4 linked regions of the Saccharomyces cerevisiae S288C genome follow. The protein of the gene in region 3 interacts with the protein of the main gene of each other region in a biochemical or structural test. Each region holds a gene or a part of one and is shown on either strand. Other genes may lie near its edges.

What was found.
Region 1: of the proteins of IME2 (region 3) and NDT80, one has a biochemical effect on the other in vitro, tested with the Saccharomyces cerevisiae proteins (4 studies listed by BioGRID).
Region 2: of the proteins of IME2 (region 3) and SIC1, one has a biochemical effect on the other in vitro, tested with the Saccharomyces cerevisiae proteins (2 studies listed by BioGRID).
Region 4: of the proteins of IME2 (region 3) and RIM4, one has a biochemical effect on the other in vitro, tested with the Saccharomyces cerevisiae proteins (2 studies listed by BioGRID).

What each region holds. Positions count from the first base shown.
Region 1 is NC_001140.6:355,060-360,362, forward strand, and holds NDT80 (transcription factor NDT80), read left to right. Parts: upstream 1-1,501; coding exon 1,502-3,385; downstream 3,386-5,303. Other genes in the region: EPT1 (bifunctional diacylglycerol cholinephosphotransferase/ethanolaminephosphotransferase), read left to right, coding at 1-1,022; YHR125W (uncharacterized protein), read left to right, coding at 3,799-4,104; ANS1 (Ans1p), read right to left, coding at 4,643-5,122. UniProt on the Saccharomyces cerevisiae protein: Transcription factor required for successful completion of meiosis and spore formation. Gets activated after completion of meiotic recombination at the end of prophase I.
Region 2 is NC_001144.5:284,443-288,722, reverse strand, and holds SIC1 (cyclin-dependent protein serine/threonine kinase inhibiting protein SIC1), read right to left. Parts: upstream 1,904-4,280; coding exon 1,049-1,903; downstream 1-1,048. Other genes in the region: EMP46 (Emp46p), read right to left, coding at 1-807; BOS1 (Bos1p), read left to right, coding at 2,164-2,166, 2,256-2,987; FMP25 (Fmp25p), read right to left, coding at 3,100-4,280. UniProt on the Saccharomyces cerevisiae protein: Substrate and inhibitor of the cyclin-dependent protein kinase CDC28. Its activity could be important for faithful segregation of chromosomes to daughter cells. It acts in response to a signal from a post-start checkpoint.
Region 3 is NC_001142.9:218,985-224,622, reverse strand, and holds IME2 (protein kinase IME2), read right to left. Parts: upstream 3,234-5,638; coding exon 1,296-3,233; downstream 1-1,295. Other genes in the region: YJL107C (uncharacterized protein), read left to right, coding at 4,607-5,638. UniProt on the Saccharomyces cerevisiae protein: Protein kinase which is essential for the initiation of meiosis and sporulation.
Region 4 is NC_001140.6:54,842-60,708, forward strand, and holds RIM4 (Rim4p), read left to right. Parts: upstream 1-1,807; coding exon 1,808-3,949; downstream 3,950-5,867. Other genes in the region: SNF6 (Snf6p), read left to right, coding at 10-1,008; NPR3 (Npr3p), read right to left, coding at 4,282-5,867. UniProt on the Saccharomyces cerevisiae protein: Positive regulator of sporulation-specific genes and of sporulation. Required for premeiotic DNA synthesis and meiotic chromosomal segregation. May act in a nutritional signaling pathway.

The sequences.
Region 1 (5,303 bases), on a different chromosome or scaffold from region 3:
CATTATCAGGATTTGCTTTTATAGTTATCAACGTGTTGACTGTATTCTATTACGATCCAAACCTTAACACAGATACGCCTCGCTGGACATATTTTTCTTACGCTTTAGGTGTATTCCTATATCAAACGTTCGATGGATGTGATGGTGTACACGCTCGCCGTATCAATCAATCAGGACCCTTAGGAGAACTATTCGATCATAGTATTGATGCCATTAATTCTACTCTGTCTATTTTCATCTTCGCATCCGAAACTGGAATGGGATTTTCGTATAACTTAATGTTATCCCAATTTGCGATGCTGACGAATTTTTACTTAAGTACTTGGGAAGAGTACCATACACACACATTATACTTAAGTGAGTTTTCTGGACCCGTGGAAGGCATCCTGATTGTTTGCGTTTCATTGATACTGACAGGTATATACGGAAAACAGGTAATCTGGCATACCTACTTATTTACAATTACAGTTGGTGATAAGGTAATTGATGTAGACACTCTAGATATTGTTTTTTCCCTAGCTGTTTTCGGTTTGGTTATGAACGCATTGTCTGCGAAAAGAAACGTGGATAAGTATTATAGAAACAGCACTTCTTCGGCCAACAATATCACGCAAATTGAGCAAGATAGTGCTATAAAAGGTCTTTTGCCCTTTTTTGCCTATTATGCAAGCATTGCTTTACTAGTGTGGATGCAACCAAGCTTTATTACACTCTCTTTCATCCTTTCCGTTGGTTTCACGGGAGCATTTACCGTCGGAAGAATAATCGTTTGCCATTTAACTAAGCAGAGCTTTCCCATGTTCAATGCACCCATGTTAATTCCTTTGTGCCAGATAGTATTGTACAAAATATGTCTATCCCTTTGGGGAATTGAGTCTAATAAAATCGTCTTTGCCCTATCTTGGCTTGGGTTCGGTCTCTCACTAGGTGTTCACATTATGTTTATGAATGACATTATCCATGAATTTACTGAGTACCTGGACGTTTATGCTTTATCCATCAAGCGCTCCAAGCTGACATAAATCGCACTTTGTATCTACTTTTTTTTATTCGAAAACAAGGCACAACAATGAATCTATCGCCCTGTGAGATTTTCAATCTCAAGTTTGTGTAATAGATAGCGTTATATTATAGAACTATAAAGGTCCTTGAATATACATAGTGTTTCATTCCTATTACTGTATATGTGACTTTACATTGTTACTTCCGCGGCTATTTGACGTTTTCTGCTTCAGGTGCGGCTTGGAGGGCAAAGTGTCAGAAAATCGGCCAGGCCGTATGACACAAAAGAGTAGAAAACGAGATCTCAAATATCTCGAGGCCTGTCCTCTATACAACCGCCCAGCTCTCTGACAAAGCTCCAGAACGGTTGTCTTTTGTTTCGAAAAGCCAAGGTCCCTTATAATTGCCCTCCATTTTGTGTCACCTATTTAAGCAAAAAATTGAAAGTTTACTAACCTTTCATTAAAGAGAAATAACAATATTATAAAAAGCGCTTAAAATGAATGAAATGGAAAACACAGATCCAGTATTACAGGATGATCTCGTATCCAAATATGAGAGGGAATTAAGCACAGAACAGGAAGAGGATACGCCTGTTATCCTTACGCAGTTGAATGAAGATGGCACCACTTCGAATTATTTCGACAAAAGGAAACTAAAAATTGCCCCTAGATCAACACTACAGTTCAAAGTGGGACCTCCATTTGAATTAGTGAGAGATTATTGTCCAGTCGTTGAGTCTCATACCGGAAGAACACTAGATTTACGAATTATTCCAAGAATTGACAGAGGGTTCGACCATATTGATGAAGAGTGGGTAGGTTATAAAAGAAATTATTTTACCTTAGTATCAACGTTTGAAACGGCAAATTGTGATTTGGATACTTTTTTAAAGAGCAGTTTTGATCTTCTCGTTGAAGACTCTTCAGTAGAAAGCAGATTAAGAGTGCAATATTTCGCTATCAAAATAAAAGCTAAGAATGACGACGACGACACGGAAATCAATCTCGTCCAGCATACAGCGAAACGCGACAAAGGTCCTCAATTTTGTCCTTCAGTATGTCCGTTGGTGCCTTCCCCTTTGCCAAAACATCAAATCATAAGAGAAGCTTCAAATGTTCGAAATATCACTAAAATGAAAAAATACGATTCCACTTTTTATTTGCACAGAGACCACGTTAATTATGAAGAATATGGAGTGGACTCTTTATTGTTTTCCTATCCAGAAGATTCTATTCAGAAAGTTGCCCGTTATGAAAGAGTTCAATTTGCTTCATCAATTAGCGTGAAGAAACCATCCCAACAAAATAAACACTTTAGCTTGCATGTAATTTTAGGTGCAGTGGTAGATCCAGATACCTTTCATGGGGAGAATCCCGGAATTCCTTATGATGAACTGGCTTTAAAAAATGGATCAAAAGGGATGTTTGTGTATTTGCAAGAAATGAAAACGCCTCCTCTTATTATTAGAGGAAGATCACCTTCTAACTATGCGTCATCTCAGCGAATAACTGTGAGAACACCGTCGAGTGTCAATTCCTCACAAAACAGCACAAAAAGAAAAATGCCATCAATGGCGCAGCCGTTAAATGAAAGTTGCTTAAATGCAAGACCTTCGAAAAGGCGATCCAAAGTGGCGCTAGGTGCACCGAACTCTGGGGCCTCCATCTCGCCTATCAAATCTCGTCAATCCACACCAATGGAAGCTTCGAAGGAAAATGAGGATCCGTTCTTCAGGCCAAATAAAAGGGTGGAGACTCTTGAACATATCCAGAACAAACTGGGTGCTTTGAAAAATCAATGTCCAGATTCCTCTCTGAAATATCCGAGTTCATCTTCAAGAGGTATGGAAGGGTGTTTAGAAAAGGAGGATTTAGTTTACTCAAGTAGTTTTTCTGTTAATATGAAGCAAATCGAACTGAAACCGGCACGCTCTTTTGAACATGAGAATATTTTCAAAGTAGGCTCATTAGCATTCAAAAAAATCAATGAATTACCTCATGAAAATTATGATATAACAATAGAGAAGAAATCAATGGAACAGAATTATCTAAGACCAGAGATAGGCTCACGTTCTGAATGCAAAACAAGCTATGGTAACGAACTCTCCCTTTCAAATATTTCTTTCTCTATACTACCTAACTCAGCAGAAAATTTTCACTTGGAAACTGCACTTTTCCCAGCTACGGAAGAGGATGTGCCAAGGACATTTTCAAGAATATTAGAAACAGGTTCGTTTCAAAATTATTATCAAAAAATGGATGCAGAAAATGCAGATAGGGTATATTCGAAAGGGGTCAAGTTGATTGCAAGCGGTACTCTACCATCTGGTATATTTAATAGGGAAGAATTGTTTGAGGAAGATAGTTTCTATAAGTATTAAATAAACTAATGATTTTAAATCGTTAAAAAAATATGCGAATTCTGTGGATCGAACACAGGACCTCCAGATAACTTGACCGAAGTTTTTTCTTCAGTCTGGCGCTCTCCCAACTGAGCTAAATCCGCTTACTATTTGTTATCAGTTCCCTTCATATCTACATAGAATAGGTTAAGTATTTTATTAGTTGCCAGAAGAACTACTGATAGTTGGGAATATTTGGTGAATAATGAAGATTGGGTGAATAATTTGATAATTTTGAGATTCAATTGTTAATCAATGTTACAATATTATGTATACAGAGTATACTAGAAGTTCTCTTCGGAGATCTTGAAGTTCACAAAAGGGAATCGATATTTCTACATAATATTATCATTACTTCTTCCCCATCTTATATTTGTCATTCATTATTGATTATGATCAATGCAATAATGATTGGTAGTTGCCAAACATTTAATACGATCCTCTGTAATATTTCTATGAATAATTATCACAGCAACGTTCAATTATCTTCAATTCGGCTTCAGTACTGTATGAAATACTCGCTAACATTTTCTTTATTCTATAATAGCACAGTGACACTTAAACGTCAAACGTGGCGCACATTAATATACGATGTATGCATTTGGCTTGACACTGCTGTAATAAGGAACATCATCATCCGTCAACTAGTAGTCACATTAGTAGTGTATTATCACATGGTGTGTAAGAACATTACGTAAAGATTGAAAAAAAGTCATCAAAAATAAAGGAAGCTGAAACGCAAGGACTAGTAGTGTAATAGAATAATATTGTGTAAAAGTATCGATACCCTTTTTGGAATTATTGTATCTTCGAGGGTGGCTTTTAATATATTTTTGAAAACCTAATATTATAACCTTTCACAACAACGAAATCCCAACTGTTGTGTAATAATTTTACTCAATTCTTACTATTGCTTTACCAATCCTTGTATTTGAGCTCTCATAAAGTTCGCTGACTACTTCTCACGACTCATGTCATCTCCTTATACTGTATATGATAATATACTGGTGGTGAATGACAGCAAACTCTTTCTGGAAAACTTCTTGTCCTAAAGAACAAAATCAGTGTAATGTGTAGGCCAGTGTTATGTTTTCATGAATATGACATCTGATAAGAATAAAACAACTGGTAAAATGACTGCTTTTTCGGCTTATAAAATTCTAACATGTACATATTTTTTATAAAATGAAAATACTATTGTCCTTAATTGTACAATTTTTACATTTGGAGGCCAAATTATAAAAATAATAGCGCTGCTACTCCAACTATATAACCCATGTTCTTGGATTCAACCTTCATACCAGCACCTTCATAGACAGAGACATTTGCGGTACTACTTGGGGTAGTAGCAGCGGTAGTCTCAGGTCCAGACGCAGTGGCTTGGATTTGACCATCACTGATCTGTGAAATAGCGGCATCTTGCTTTTTGCCGGGTTGATGATCTGCAACAGCGCTTCTATTGGAACGATACAATGAGCCATTCCAACCACCCACATCATATACAGCTGCATTAGATATCTTTTTCTGCTGAGCTGCTAAGGACCAAGATGCGCTGCTGTTGAAGGCTTCATCAGTCGAATTAAATTTTCCTTCTATGTACGAGTTCGTACTATTCGCAAATTGTACGTCCAACGTGTCTGAGGAGTTGCTTACTTGTGCATGTGCAACTAGAATATTGGTGATGGCAAACAATGTGGAAACTAAAGTGCACTTCATGGTAGATTAATTATGATGTTCGTTTGATTCTGTTCTATATTTTTTATATGCTGACTGAACAGATTATAAAAATTAAATTACATGAAGTATTGAAGTTAATGTTGGCTATTTTTGAGGAGGAGGTTCACCTTTATATAGTATTCCTCGAGCTACAAAAACATGGATATTTTTACAAATGCTA
Region 2 (4,280 bases), on a different chromosome or scaffold from region 3:
TCCGTCATAAAGCTTCATTTTCAAGATTTCAAACGATTCTTTGGATGCATCGTTGATAGCACTTGTTCCAATCCTAAATGGGCTGCTGCCCATAAATTTAACTTTCCTTGTCTGGAAACACACTCTGTTGTCCATTTGCAACTTTAACAAGTGATTATCTAGTGGATTGTAAGTCAATCTTAATGTTGATGGTACCATGGAATCCTGGTATTGGAACAGACATGACGCAAAGTACGGTGAGGATTCAATATCAAGATCTTTTGTTCCGTCATTCAAATACGCTGTCACGCTCTCTCCCAACTTATCGTCTAATCGTAACAATATCATCAAACCATTAAACTTCTTCGAACTTCCACCAAATAACTCGGTACTATCTCCCTCATTTCCTTGCTTCAGCCAAAATGCAAGACCCCCCTTTGTGCTGCCTCTGAACCCGAAACTTCTAAACGTCCACTCTATTGTCATTGCATCCTTTATTGAATATTCAGGTTTCAACCAAAGTGAACCCTTTGTGTTCTTTCCAGGAGTTAAAACAAACCTCCCTTCTTCAAGTTTTACTTTGTCACCCAAAGTCCATTGTGAAAGTTCTTTTTGCTGATCTGTCACTTCTAGCAAATTTGGTAGCGAGTATCCTTTATTCCATTTCAATTCATCCTTCTGCGTCACTTTTCCGTGTACCATCCACACACACATATATAACCATATCAGTCCATTAATGAAATTCATCTTCTTTTGCTTAGTTCCAGCTTTTGTTCCTGTGATTTTCCCTAAAAGCTGAAGAGAGGAAGCTGTCTTTCTTGTAGTCATCCTCCCCTAACTCGCTTTGACGAAATACTACAATGAAATATGCTATTATTCTGAAGACAGAAAACCAGAATAAAAGAATACGGTAAGGAAAAGTTAAAAATCCTGTTAATGTTGTAATATAGAATATCCTGTATATATTATAATATGTAAAATGTTGATGTTAATGCCCCTTTGCAAATAAATGTAGAATAAGTAAGTAAATAAAATATAATCGTTCCAGAAACTTTTTTTTTTCATTTCTTCAATGCTCTTGATCCCTAGATTGAAACAATGCCTTTGGCTTGAATCTTCTCTTTTCTTCATCCGTTAACCTTCGTTTCTCTACCACCTCTCCCTTCTTATTGACATATGTTATTACGTCTTCTATATCTGGGTTTTCTCTCAACATTGCCCTTTTACGTTCATTTCTAATTTCCTGAGTGACCAGTTCATCTGATGCAAAGGGATTTTTACCCACCCGCACTGGATTGATGATGATGTCTTCCTCGTCTTCACTTTCTTGACTCCTGGCGTCATTTTTCGGAGAGTTGTTGTTCCAATTTTTTGCCAATTCAAATGTTATCACCTTGTCGCTGGGCGTACCAGGTACATCTTTAATAATCTTCTTTCTATGTGTCTGATCAAACTCATCTCTTTCAAGTGATAAATGTAACTGCCTGGCAGATGTAGGTCTGCTGGGGGGAAGAAGAACTTCTCCTTCTTCTTCTTCTTCTGCTGCATCTATATCCACATTTTGCTGCGTGGGAAACAATATCCTATTTACACGACCCAATGGTTCCTGCTCTTCCCTTACTGTTCCATTATCATGACTTTCAAATTGGAATAGTGTCCTCTTCACTGAAGATTTTGGAAACGGCGAGCGTTGAGGAGACGTAAGCCCATTAAATGGAGAGGTCATACCCATGTTCGAATTGGGAGGTGCTAATAATGGCGCATTTTTAAAAGACTTAGTTGTTGAGGGAGTGACAGGGACTAGGTTCTGTGAAGGCTTTTGGGGGGTCTTTTGACCTTGCATTAGGGCACTAGAACTAGTATTGCCACTAGGCTGCGCAAGGTACCTAGTCCCTCTGGACCTTGGTGGGGTGGAAGGAGTCATTTTCGTGTAATAGTCCCTGCTTCAAGGGTCAAAATTCCGTAGAGGTTTGGTTGATTGATTTACAAAGACAATACCTTATCCTTTGGATATGCCTTCTCTCTTTTTATAAATATCAAAAGTTGCGACGCGAACAACAAGCCAGCCATTGAAATTTTCAGTGTGCTGGCTATAATAGACAGGATCGACGCTGTCGATGGAGAAGGAAACACGGCAATAGTGCAGATATTATCGTGACTTAATCATATTGATTTGAGGGGGGAATGGTATGTTTGATCGCCGGAGGCATCTTTTCTCATTATTGCTAAAACAAGATGTAATACTAACAGGGTATTTTGCTACTACCATCAAATAGAACGCTCTTTACAACCATGCTGTGAAGCAAAAAAATCAACTACAACAAGAGTTGGCCAGGTTTGAAAAGAATTCTGTGACCGCCCCTATTTCTTTACAAGGGTCCATCTCTGCAACTCTGGTCTCACTGGAGAAAACAGTTAAGCAATATGCAGAACATTTAAACAGATATAAAGAAGATACTAATGCAGAGGAAATTGATCCTAAGTTCGCTAATCGACTAGCAACTTTAACACAGGATCTGCACGACTTTACTGCCAAGTTTAAGGATTTAAAACAATCCTACAACGAAAATAATTCCAGAACTCAGTTGTTTGGCTCAGGAGCATCGCATGTTATGGACTCCGATAACCCCTTTAGTACATCAGAGACCATCATGAATAAAAGGAACGTTGGTGGTGCGAGTGCAAATGGTAAAGAGGGCTCTAGCAACGGTGGGGGACTACCGTTGTACCAAGGGCTACAAAAGGAACAGTCTGTTTTCGAAAGGGGTAACGCTCAATTAGATTACATTCTAGAAATGGGCCAACAATCATTCGAAAATATAGTGGAACAAAACAAAATTTTATCCAAGGTACAAGATAGAATGTCAAATGGCCTAAGAACATTGGGTGTTTCGGAACAAACTATCACCTCTATCAATAAACGGGTGTTCAAAGATAAACTAGTCTTTTGGATCGCGTTAATTCTCTTGATCATAGGTATTTATTATGTGTTGAAATGGTTAAGATAGAAGTAACCGTGAGTTCTATATATAAATAAACATACCATATATACATGCATCATTATAAGGGTTGAAAAAACATCGCGAATCTCGCTACTTTCCTTCTATGCTCTTTCGTTTCTCAAACCCGCCAGTATAAGCAACTTTTATTACCATTGGTGACTACACGTTGCTCCTTTTTTAAGTGTAATTTACTGTTATAAATTGAGTCCAAATCTGTCGTGTCTTGTCCTGGTTTGAGAACTTCGGGAATGTTCATTGGCTTAGCGCATTTCATAGTTTTCTTTCCAATACCTAGTTGGCCATGGTCGTTATTACCCCATGCAATGACCTCGTTTTCTTGTTCAGTTTCAGTGAACACACAATGAGAGCCGCAACTCCAGTTGGTCAATTTCTTGTCATCCGACTTGATTTTTATGGGATCACATTGCGAGTTCTTGAAAGTGTTGTTGCCCAATTCACCAAAAAGTCCATTACCAAACGCGAAATAATGATGGTCTGACGTTGAGCCAGGCTTACGAATGGTCACAAACGATGTTTCATCATCACAATGAATATCCACACATTTCCAATTCGTCATCCCCGGGAAATGCGGTTTAAATGCATGCGTTACCGATCTTGGGAAAGAAACATATTCTAGATTGTACGAAATAGGTAGTGCCAATTGGCCGAACCTATTCCAGCCAAAGGCATAAATTTCACCAGTCTTATCTATTGCCAGTGTATGGTACGACCCGCAAGCTATCTTTTTAATTTCTCTTTTGCGGACAACGTCTTCTCCTTCATGCTTAAATTTGTTCAGCAGTTCAATTTCGAATAGTTGATTATTGGGAGGAAACTCATCGAATTGTGAGAATGTTGGTATACCGAATTGTCCTTTGGATACTTGAGCTTGTTTTTGATCATTTCCCGTCGCGCAGCAATAAGCCTTACCTAAATTAGATAGCAACACCAGATGATGGCTACCAGCGTCAAATTGTACTACACGTTTTTCTCCTTCCTTACCGTTGAAAATCTGATTTGTTTGTAATTTCCAATCATATCTTAGTTTTGTCTTCCATGGCAACAATTTCGACCTTCTTGATGATACTTGCGAAGCTATCAGATCCGGCGTTCTTATAGGTATGACCAATATTTCACCCTTTTTATTCAAAGCGTACAAAAAGTGACTAGAATACTTCATTGAGGTCAAATCTTGATCTGGCAATATCGTTTTTGTTTGTCCCAAATCATCCCACGATATCAAATCGCCTTTCTCGTCAATTGCAAAATTGGTGTTGAAATCGTCAGAGGGAGCTAATA
Region 3 (5,638 bases):
AAAATGTGCAAGAATAAAGGTATCTCAATGAACGAGCTCGAGCGTCAAGAGACGGGTATAAGCGAAGAAGCGCAATGCCGCCAGCCAAGCAAAGCCAAACGAAGAGATCGACCTTCCATGGGGTCGCAACTTTTCCCGGTGACCTCTACATGTGTGATTGTTAGTTCAGCGTAACAGAGTTTCAACAACATGCATATACGAGTGTGCCTTCGTGCCTGATTTTGGTTGATTATCCGGCTTCCAACCTCGTTAAATTTTCATAAAGTGCATATCGTGTAATGTAAAAAGTAAAAAGATAAAAAAGACTCATATGAAATCTTGCTGCATGGAGACAAGTGCACTCGAATTCTTTACTTATATTTTCGCTCTTGAGCTCGTCCTTTTACTAGCATATCAATATCCGTTTCATTGAAAAGTGGCCTTAGAAACGCGGACACATTAGTCTCGTATGTCGGCTCTCGCCTACTTCTTGCCTATTGTTTCAGTGCCTTTAAACCTTATTTCCCTTCCCTCGCGTGCCATTCGGCGATCTCGATTTTCCGCAAGGGGCCTCAAACGACCGACATCAAAAACCAAAACAAAGGCCAAGCACATCGTTTAGAGAAGAAATTTTGGGGGTAATATGTTTTAACGATGCCATATATGCACCAACTTCTAGGGGAAAGAATGCTTTTGACTATCTCTCCTTCCTTGCATATAGGCCAGATTTTTCCTTGGATTGTGCTGTATTACTATTGGCTCCAAGGAACCTCACAGTGAGCTTTTCCAAACCGAAAGATTTCTCTTGCGATTTCTTCGTATGCAGTAATAGGGTTTTTTGAGAATATACCGGGCATAATGTTGCAGTTATCAACTATCGCACATACAGTAGTAACAGTTCTGGTTGTCCTAGCATTAATGCCGTTTTAATTTTCTGCAGAGTATTGCCTGTGGACAACAGTAACTTATACGAATAAACATACCAAGTTAGGATCTGAGCCGGGTAACCGAACACAAAGATCTCGTTCTACTTTTTTTGACCTCTTGATGAGTTGCTTAACAAAATCAGTAGCCGCCAAGAGCAAGAAATCATAAAATGTTCAAGAAAAACAAACATAAAAATATATTGGAGGGGAATAAACGCAAAGTAATGTCTAATAAGTTAAATTAAAGCCATCGAAAAAGCACTGTATTAATAGAGCAGTAGCTATTTAGGTGAATGCATAGTAATATAATATATATGCGAACATATGTATGTCTATGTGTATATAACTATATAACTGTGCCTAACGATTCGTCAGTCAAATGACAAATTATTAGAAGGTTACATTTCCAAAATGTTGGTTTGAATTGGATAGATGAGGCTCGAACTTTTCCCGTGATTTTTTTAATGTAGGTATCAAGAAATTTCTTGGAGTAAAATCTGGCATTGAATTAAACGAATCGCCTAAAGAGGCATCACCCAAAACATTATCACCTCTATGATGTGACCTATCTGTATGTGTGTAATTTGAGTTGTTCACATATGGTAGAACGATGTCTTCATCAATATCTGCATGTTCATTAAATGGTTGTTTTCTCTGAAACTCATCCTTTTCAGGAATTTCCAGGTCAAAAAATAGCTGTTCCATGTTGTCTGCTTCATCTTTATTTATAATTTCAATATCATTTGTCAACTGCCTAATATTCGATAATGAATGATCTAAGACTTCTTCATCTGGTAGTTGACAAAGGGCCAAATTATTACGAATTTCTTTTGATAATTCAGTCTCATCAATAGAATCTGAAATGGTAGAATCTGTTCCAACATCAGGTATTGAGTGATCATCATTATCTTCTTCAACGAATTCGTTTAAAAATTCTACCAAAGTTAGTTTTTCTTGATTTAATGTTGGTGAGCACATAGCATGAGAATCGTGATCGTTGTTGCTGATATCAATATCATTAGACTCTGTTTCTGCGGGCAATTTTGTTGAAGAGTTAAAATATATGGGCTTTGTGTTGGTCGCTACTGGATTTATACCTGCAAAAATCAATGCTTGTTCTGTATTAGTCACATTGCCTCTTGCGTCTACTTGGGATGCCACGGTGTTTTCAAAAAATGGCATTTCACAAAGCTCTTGGGCTGTTGCCCTTTCATTAGGATCCCATCTTAAACACTTTTTGACAACCTCAGATAAATCGGATAGTTGGGAGCTAGAAAGTAGATGATCCAACGATGAACCTTCTACATAAGGCAATTTCAAGTTTAATTTATGGACCAAATTACTGGCATCATCCCAAAATCCACCAGGTGGTGGAGCTGTGATGTGGTTTGTATTAACAAAATCAGAACGTTTGATAGGTGTACCAAGAACTTCTAAAATTTTCCATATCTGATCGATTTCGTTAGCACCGGGGAAGAGAGCTCTGAATACAGTAACTTCCACCGCCACGCACCCGAATGCCCAAATATCCAAAGGTTTGGAATAGTAACCACTTCTTAATAATATTTCAGGCGATCTATACCATCTTGTGGAAACGTAGGCCGTATACGGGTTTTTATTTTCAACATGGCGTGCCAAACCAAAATCTGCAAGTTTAATGACATAGTTATCTTGATATCCAATCTGGTTCATGTACTCCTTTTCAAAATACTGGGTACTTGGTGTGATAAGAATATTTTCAGGTTTTAAATCTCTGTGGAAGAAATTATGTTCGTGGATGTGTTTTAACCCAGCCAGTATCTGCGATAGAATAGATTTCAAAGAAGGAATCGAAAAAACTCGGCGCCTTCTATGTTTCATCATTTGATATAGGTTTTGCTCCATACATTCCATTACGATATGTAATTGGTAATTTTCAGAGTCAATAAAGACCTCAAAAATTTGTATCAGATGGTCATTCGCTGGGATTGCCAGTATGAACTTAATTTCTCTGACCCTCGTATAATCCTGGAGTGTATGCAGTTTTGTCATCATTGTCTTTATAGCCACTACACCTTGTGTCTTTGTTATATAGTTTTGGTGACCATTTTTAGGCTGATCCATTAAAGTACCCCTTATATCATGTTGTTTACCCAATATGTTCGATAAAGGAAATTGCGCTTTGGCTAAAGTTACACAACCAAATGATCCTGCACCTAGTTTTTCGATCAGCTGATATCTGTCTGATAAAGTCTTCAAAGGGATAGAAAGTGGCGGGTTATCGACATCAGGTGGAACACTGAACTCTGAGCCACTACTGGAACTCTGTCTACTACGTTTTTCAACCATAAATGACCTATTAAGTTAAGCTTAGTACTCTTCTTTTATTACGTCTGTATCACGTTCCTTTTCAATGAATATTTAAGAACACGATTAACTTTTCTGATAAGCCTGGTAAATAAATACAGGTTTATATTCTCTAGACAGCCACCTTAACCGACTGGAGTGTCCTTTATATCTTTACCCAAAAAATAAAACTTTTAGGAGAAGGGGTAACAAACTGAAAAGGGAAAGGGTAAAGTAAAGGTAACTGTAAACTATTTTGAAAGATAGATCTTGTAACTTCTTTCTCGTTGAGTGATATTGGAAAATAAAAATGAAATGAATGTGTGAAGACAGAAGAAGTTATTCAGGAAAAGAAAATGGACAGACCGGTGAGTTGCTACCTTAATATATCTATTTGATTACACACATTACTTCTTTACCTCTTTGCAACCAGCACTTGTCTGTGGCTTTTTGCCGCCGAAGTCTCGCGCCTTTTCCCTGTTGAATTGCATTTAAGACACAAGGCTGACATTTATTAATGATAGAGATTTCCACAAAAACTCAAATAGCCGCCGTAACATAAATTATTGGACAACCGGAGAAAAGGATATTTTAAGGCACCAGCGGGTAATACATCTTTATTTCTCCAAGTTTAAAAAGCGTATTTGGAAAAGCTGTGCCACTCAGATTTTTGTGAGAGTTTTCTTTTTCTACTTACCATGAGTGCGGAGTCTTGGTGAAACAGCTACTGAGAGAATAGGTATCTGGGTTACCAGTGTAGTTAGCTACAACATGTTCGAAATGCATGGTAGAGTCTGGGTTTCGTTCCCTTTGGCTTGTTAAGGCCGAAGATTGCTTTGGTCTGGATGGGCGGAGCCCAAATTTTATTGTTGAACTATTTTTAGATTAAGAAAAACAGCGCCAAATTTTACCCGGCTTATGGCTCCTCCCTTGGTACTCCCATTTTTATGACGTAGCAGTTGTCCCGCTTGTTTCAACTCCTCGAGAAAAGTGGGGCATTGGGTTTATCTGTCACAGTACCACCAGCACGCCGAATGGACCCTCTTTGTCTTAGCCCGACGTCTCCGTAATCAGCGCGCCATTCGTGTTTCTAGTGTCCTTTGACTATTTTCATCCGAAAAATATCGAAGCAAAGCCATCGCCAAAAATTGCGAACCCAATATGACGAAATTCGGAAGAATCTTGAAAAAGAAATAAACCGAATTGCATATTAATATATAACTATGTTTTACGTTTGTTTTAAGCCTACTATATCTGAGAACGTAGCTAAATAAATCTTATATAACACTTACTTACTTACTTAGCGGTGTGCGACTTTTATCTTTTAGATATAGAATAACAAAAGAAAAAAGATCGAATAACCGATAGGCTATACAATGGACGGTAGAAATGAAAAACCAACCACTCCTGTGTCAGATTTTCGGGTGGGAAGCTCCGAGCAAAGTCAAGCGGGAGTGAATCTTGAAGATAGTAGTGACCATCGCACTTCCAATTCAGCCGAGAGCAAAAAAGGCAATTTAAGTGGTAAAAGCATCAGTGATCTAGGTATTTCTAATAATGATAACAAAAATGTAAGATTCACTGCTGATACGGATGCTCTAGAAAATGATTTGTCTTCAAGATCTACAGAAACCAGCGATAATTCTAAGGGCACAGATGGACAAGATGAAGAAGATAGGCCTGCTCGCCACAAGAGGAAGCCTAAAGTTTCTTTCACACATTTAAGGAACAATGGTAAGGATGGAGACGATGAGACGTTCATCAAGAAGATAATAAATAACCTGACTGGAAATCAAGGGGGTTTGGTCCCTGGCTTGGCACCAATACCTTCAGAAAATGAAAATGGGAAGAATGATATAGAAAAAAATAACCGTAATGAAGAAATTCCCTTATCCGATCTAGCTGATGCGTCTAAAATCGTAGACGTTCATGAGGGCGACGATAAAGAAAAACTGGAGGCTCTCAAATTAGAAGGTGACGTAAATTGTACGTCGGATGGCGAAACGTTAGGCTCAAGTTCAAAAAATTCATTTCTGGCTCCTGCAGTGGATCATTTTGATGATTATGCAGAAAACAATTCATCCGACGATAACGAAGGGTTTATTGAAACCTCCACATACGTACCCCCTCCATCTCAAGTGAAAAGTGGAGTACTAGGGTCATTATTGAAACTTTACCAAAATGAAGATCAAAATTCAAGCTCAATCTTTTCAGATTCACAAGCTGTAACAACAGATGATGAAGGTATTTCTTCTACTGCTGGAAACAAAGACGTACCAGTTGCCAAGCGTAGCAGATTACAAAATTTAAAAGGCAAGGCTAAAAAAGGCAGAATGCCTAGACTGAAGAAAAGACTAAAAACTGAAGCGAAAATTACGGTTCACATTGCAGACATTTTACAAAGACAC
Region 4 (5,867 bases), on a different chromosome or scaffold from region 3:
AGTAAAATAATGGGTGTCATCAAGAAGAAAAGATCGCACCATGGAAAGGCTTCGCGCCAACAATACTACTCTGGGGTACAGGTTGGGGGAGTAGGCAGCATGGGCGCCATAAACAATAACATCCCGTCGTTGACGAGCTTCGCGGAGGAAAACAACTATCAGTACGGATACAGCGGCTCCAGTGCCGGCATGAATGGCAGATCGCTTACGTACGCGCAGCAACAGCTTAATAAGCAAAGACAGGACTTCGAACGTGTACGACTTAGACCAGAACAGCTCAGCAATATCATACATGACGAGAGCGACACGATATCGTTCCGATCCAACCTTTTGAAGAACTTTATAAGCTCGAACGACGCATTTAACATGCTGAGTTTGACCACGGTACCGTGCGACAGAATTGAGAAGTCCAGATTGTTCAGTGAAAAAACAATAAGATATCTCATGCAAAAACAACACGAAATGAAAACACAAGCGGCAGAGTTGCAAGAAAAGCCTCTGACGCCACTTAAATACACAAAACTTATAGCTGCGGCAGAGGACGGAAGCCGTAGCACAAAGGATATGATAGATGCTGTCTTCGAGCAAGATAGTCATTTGAGGTACCAGCCGGACGGCGTGGTCGTACATCGTGACGATCCTGCGCTGGTGGGTAAACTCCGCGGAGATCTCCGCGAAGCGCCGGCGGACTACTGGACGCATGCTTATAGGGATGTTTTGGCGCAATACCACGAGGCCAAGGAGCGTATCAGGCAGAAGGAAGTAACTGCAGGTGAAGCACAGGACGAAGCCAGCTTGCAGCAGCAACAGCAGCAAGATTTGCAGCAACAGCAACAAGTAGTGACTACAGTTGCCTCGCAAAGTCCTCATGCAACTGCAACGGAAAAGGAGCCAGTACCCGCCGTGGTTGACGACCCACTGGAGAACATGTTCGGAGATTATTCCAATGAGCCGTTCAACACCAATTTCGACGATGAATTTGGAGATCTTGATGCTGTATTTTTTTAATAGCCATGGGCGGCTACTTCTTGGAAATATATACTTTCCTTTTACATATTTAGTATAGTTATACATGTGGATGTGTATGGAGGTAAGATCAGATAGACCCTTCACTGTTTTCTGTGTATTCCTTGTGACATAGTGGATTTGTGCAGCTACTGCTTATAGGAAGCAGTGCCTGCAAAACAATTCATTCGTTGGTTGATGTGGCGCGCTGACTGAATGTGTAGGGTCTGTTGTTACCCCCTTGCTCCGGGGGCCCACATCTCTCTGACGCGAAGAAAGGCTCGAGATGTGCCAGTCGTAAACACCGCCTCATTTCCCTTGCATTCTCCTCCAGTGAAAAAGCAGTACGACCTATCTCCGAAAAAAAAAAACCTCCTGTGCGTTTACTGTGGATCATGCAACACGATTTCTGTAGATTAAAGACGTTTTTGGCATGGACTAAGCTAAATTCCGTTTGATTAGCCGCCCATAACGGGTGGCAAACAACACGATGAAACTCTATATCCCCGCTTAACGTTTCGGCGGCTGTGATCAAGGAAAATAGTATATAAGTTCGTCGGATTTCTTATTTGTTTTCTCTCTTCCTTTCTCTCTCCCTTTCTCGTGCTTGGTTGTTTTCCTTAATTAGTTAAAACAATAAAAGAACAAGAAGGAGAAGGCGATTTTGGACTAGAAAATCACGAAGAAAAAATATCTAATTGCATTCCTATATATATTTATATACATACTCTCTATTGTTTGTTTTTTGCCTGCTCAAGAAGAAAGAAAGAAAAAAATATTATCTTTTTTAGCTTGTTGAAACATGAAAACCGAAATCAGCACTGCGGATTCCCTTCGTGATCCTCCCTCTAATGGTCTAAAGGCCGACTCTGAGCTGGTTATCAGAGAGGATATAGACCAATTTTTGCCTTCGGAAGTATCTTCGTTGGGGTCAGATCACCAGAATGATGGTGAGGATTCAGACACTGACAGTGACAACTTTTTGCAAGACCCTGAAGACGATGTGGATGAAGAAAGCACTGGTAGAGGTACAGTCACTACCACTTCCACATCCACTGAGTCAAGAGGCCGTCCATCTTCTTGTATCTTCGTGGCAAGCTTAGCAGCAGCCCTATCCGATGACGAATTATGTCTGTCGGTGACTGAAAATTTCAAAAAATACGGTGATTTGGCTAGAGTTAAAGTTTTGCGTGATAACGCAAATAGACCTTATGCTTTTGTTCAATACAACAACGATCATGATGCTAAACATGCTCTGATCCGCGCTCAGGGTACTTTATTAAATGGCAGAAGGTTGCGTTGTGAACCTGCAAAAGTGAACAGGACATTGTACTTGAAAAACCAGCAAAGTATTGATTTCAACGAGATCAGTCAAATTTGTGAAAAATTTGGTGGTTTGGAACAGATTGTTCCTGATAGAACTGATAATCAATACACGAGAAGATATACTTATCCGATATCTTCGGCAAATTCTTGGTTTGTTCAATTCGTTTACAGAGACGATGCAATCAGAGCTTATGCGAATTTACGAACTGATCCCAATTGGATCATCGAATGGGCACAAAATATAAACGTCCCAAAAAATTATAACCTTTTACACAAAAGCAAATTCAAAAGTTCCAAATACCATCAAAACAACGGTATTATCAATAACGATGGTAGTAACAACAACGATAATAATAATAGTAATAATAATAATAGAGAGGATTCAAGGAGGAATGGCGACGTTATAGAAGAGGAGTGCGGACATGTGCATGGTAGTGATTCAGAGGAAAAATTGACAAGCGATGGTATTTATGACGACGAAGATAAAGATTCCGAGATCACCATTGATAAAAGATCCATTTTCGTGGGTCAATTAGACAAAGAAACCACCAGAGAGGAATTGAATAGAAGATTTTCCACTCATGGTAAAATCCAAGATATTAATTTAATCTTCAAGCCAACAAACATATTTGCGTTTATTAAATATGAAACCGAAGAAGCTGCTGCTGCTGCTTTGGAAAGTGAAAACCATGCAATTTTTTTGAATAAGACAATGCATGTTCAATATAAAGAGGTAGGTGGTCGTCACAACAGGAAGTTCTCTGGTAAGAACGGTGGCAGCAACTTTAACCATCATCAGTTTTTTAGCACCAGATCGGGCAAAACATTTACAGGGCCAGAACTGAACTTAGCACCACCACCAATCAACATGTACAGGAAAATGAGCGGCGGATCCCAGCAGGAAAGCGAAACTATGATGCCATACATGCCCATGGGGCCCATGCCCATGGGGCCTCCACCACCAAATGCAGCAAGTCTCAGTGATTTTGATATGTTCCCCCCAAGTTACTCCACGTTTATGAAGGGAATGATGCCATTGAGGCGTAAATCTATGCCCAATTCTTGGTCATCCCCTTCTTCAAAGAGTGTGAACTCTGAAAATGAAAGTGTTAATGGTGGTGATGAGAATTCCGAATTGCCTTCCGAAATTCCTGAATCATCTGGTAGATATAATGCTGCTAATTCCTTTACCACATATAATAATTCCTCAGCAGGAAACTCTAACAACAACAACAACAACAACAACAGTAACAGTAATAAGTCTCAATATAAAAAGCGCTATGCAAGGAGGTCAAGCTACGGATACAATGAAGTACCTCCAAAACCATACTATTTCCAGCCTTATTACTATCACCCCATGCAATACCATATGGGCCCAATGGGCCCATTGCATCCTTCTCAAGGTTCTGCTGGAAATCACCATCCATATATGATGGTTTATCCCATGTCACCACCTCCGCCTTCTGGGTTAGATGGAAGCATGATCCCTCCTCCAATAAATGTAAGCCAATCACATGCTGCTAATCATGGCAGTACCCATGTTCATGCGAACGAATTCATATCAAACGATACTGGTGACATAAATGAAGATAACAAAGCTTATAGTTTAGATTACTAAAAATGATTGGTCGTAAAAGCTGCAAAAGATGTATGTAATTCAGCGGTGATGTTAACTTTAAAAGTGCAGTTTCGTTTTCTTTTTCGTCTCCCTATTTTTTTCTCTGGATCTTTTTTTTTTTTTTCACTTGGTATTGTTTTCATCCTTCTTTCCTTCTTTTACCTTCTTTGTCTCCTAATATAACAATACATACTTTCGAGTTTTGATTACAAGTCACTCGAAATGTTTTTTTCCTTTTATATATTCTTCCTTTTGTCTATTCTTATATACACATATTTTAATTTTTGGTAGATTTTTTTTTTTTTACTTACATTTTGTTACAATAGAGAGATTTACCAATGGTGTATCTCGATTAAATACTTATCTAGAGCATTGAGCAATTTCTTTAGGTCATGTCTGCTAATTTCCTCTTTGATGATAACCAATTCCATGGGGACCTTTCCATTGAAGTACTTGAGCAACTTGTTAAAAAGAATCTGGATATCTGAAGGCTGACCATAAATACATCTATAAAGCCATCTTTTTTCAATCGCAGTGGCTCTTTCAGGTTCCAAAATTATAGTATAGTCATGTTGCATTTCTGGATCATCGTATTCGAAGTGTAGTATTTCTTCTTCATCCGCAATAGCTATTTCATTGTCATCACGATCATCAACACGACTATCATTTTCGTTATCTTTTTCGTCCACATCTTTGTTGTTGTCGTTGGACTGCATGCCTTCATTCTTTCCTGAACACGCTTCGCTGGCGTTTGCATCTCTACTTTGCCCATCTTCATCATCCAGCTTTTTATCAGTTTTTTTGTAGTCCATGCTGGGCCTTCTAGCAGTATTAGTCTTACGGAAGCCTTCCTTTTCTAGATCCTCATCTACTGCCATTTTTATGTGTTTGTCCACTCGGATATTTATGAAAGTCAATAATTGGGTTACATACCCGTACTGTATTAACCACGCTAACGCGTTCAGGTAAACTGGCTTATGTTCCCTTGATGGGATTATGTTACTGTACGCTTGAGGTTTGTCCGTGGACAACAAACTTAAAAAAATGGGTAAACTGGGCAATGATGGGAATTTGGATCTGAACAACATCGAATTTTGATAAATTAGTGGTACTCTGTCGCTTCCACTCTTATTATTTTCGCGATCGTCCATTTTTTTCACGTTCCCATCATTTTGTGAAGTACTTTTATAATCATCTATTGTATAACCTTGAATAGGAGCCAAGGGTGAAACAATATACGTGTATTTGGAGCTTAGTGGGATCACTATTCTTGCATGTCTCCAATACATTAAATGCAATGCGCAAGAGCGCAGTATGCTTGATTCCAATGAGTTTGTTTCTGTAGTAAGGTCGTCCAGTGAAGAAGGGTTATCTAATAAATCAGTTATCAGATAGCGATACGACCTTAGAGGGATATTTGGCTGGATATTTCTGACTAAATGTTTCAATATGATAGTGCCAATATCGTCCTGGTATGAAAAAGTTTCGAGGGAGCTAATAATATTATTTGGCTCGTCCAATAATAATAGCGCATAGTTTAAAAGGTCATCATTGTCGTCGCAGTAGTAATTGCTTTCATTGTCGTCCCCGTCATCCACATTTGCTGCTCCACAGTGGCCGGTACTATTAATATTATTGCCAAACCTGTATATGTTATTATTGGTATCACTGAATTGAGCCTGATCGTTTTGACGATTTTGACTTTCAATTCTCAATGATGATTTTTCTAAAAATTTCATGTTCAAAATGGACGTCAAATATGAGCCTCTTAGCACGGGTTGCAGTTTGAAGTTTGGCATTTTTTCAAACTCGTTTTGAATCGGGATTTGCAAGGAAATTACTTTATCGTCATTGATCTCAAGACATGCGATTTCATTTCGTTGGATTTTATCAACACATTCCGTTAGCGCCCTAGCCA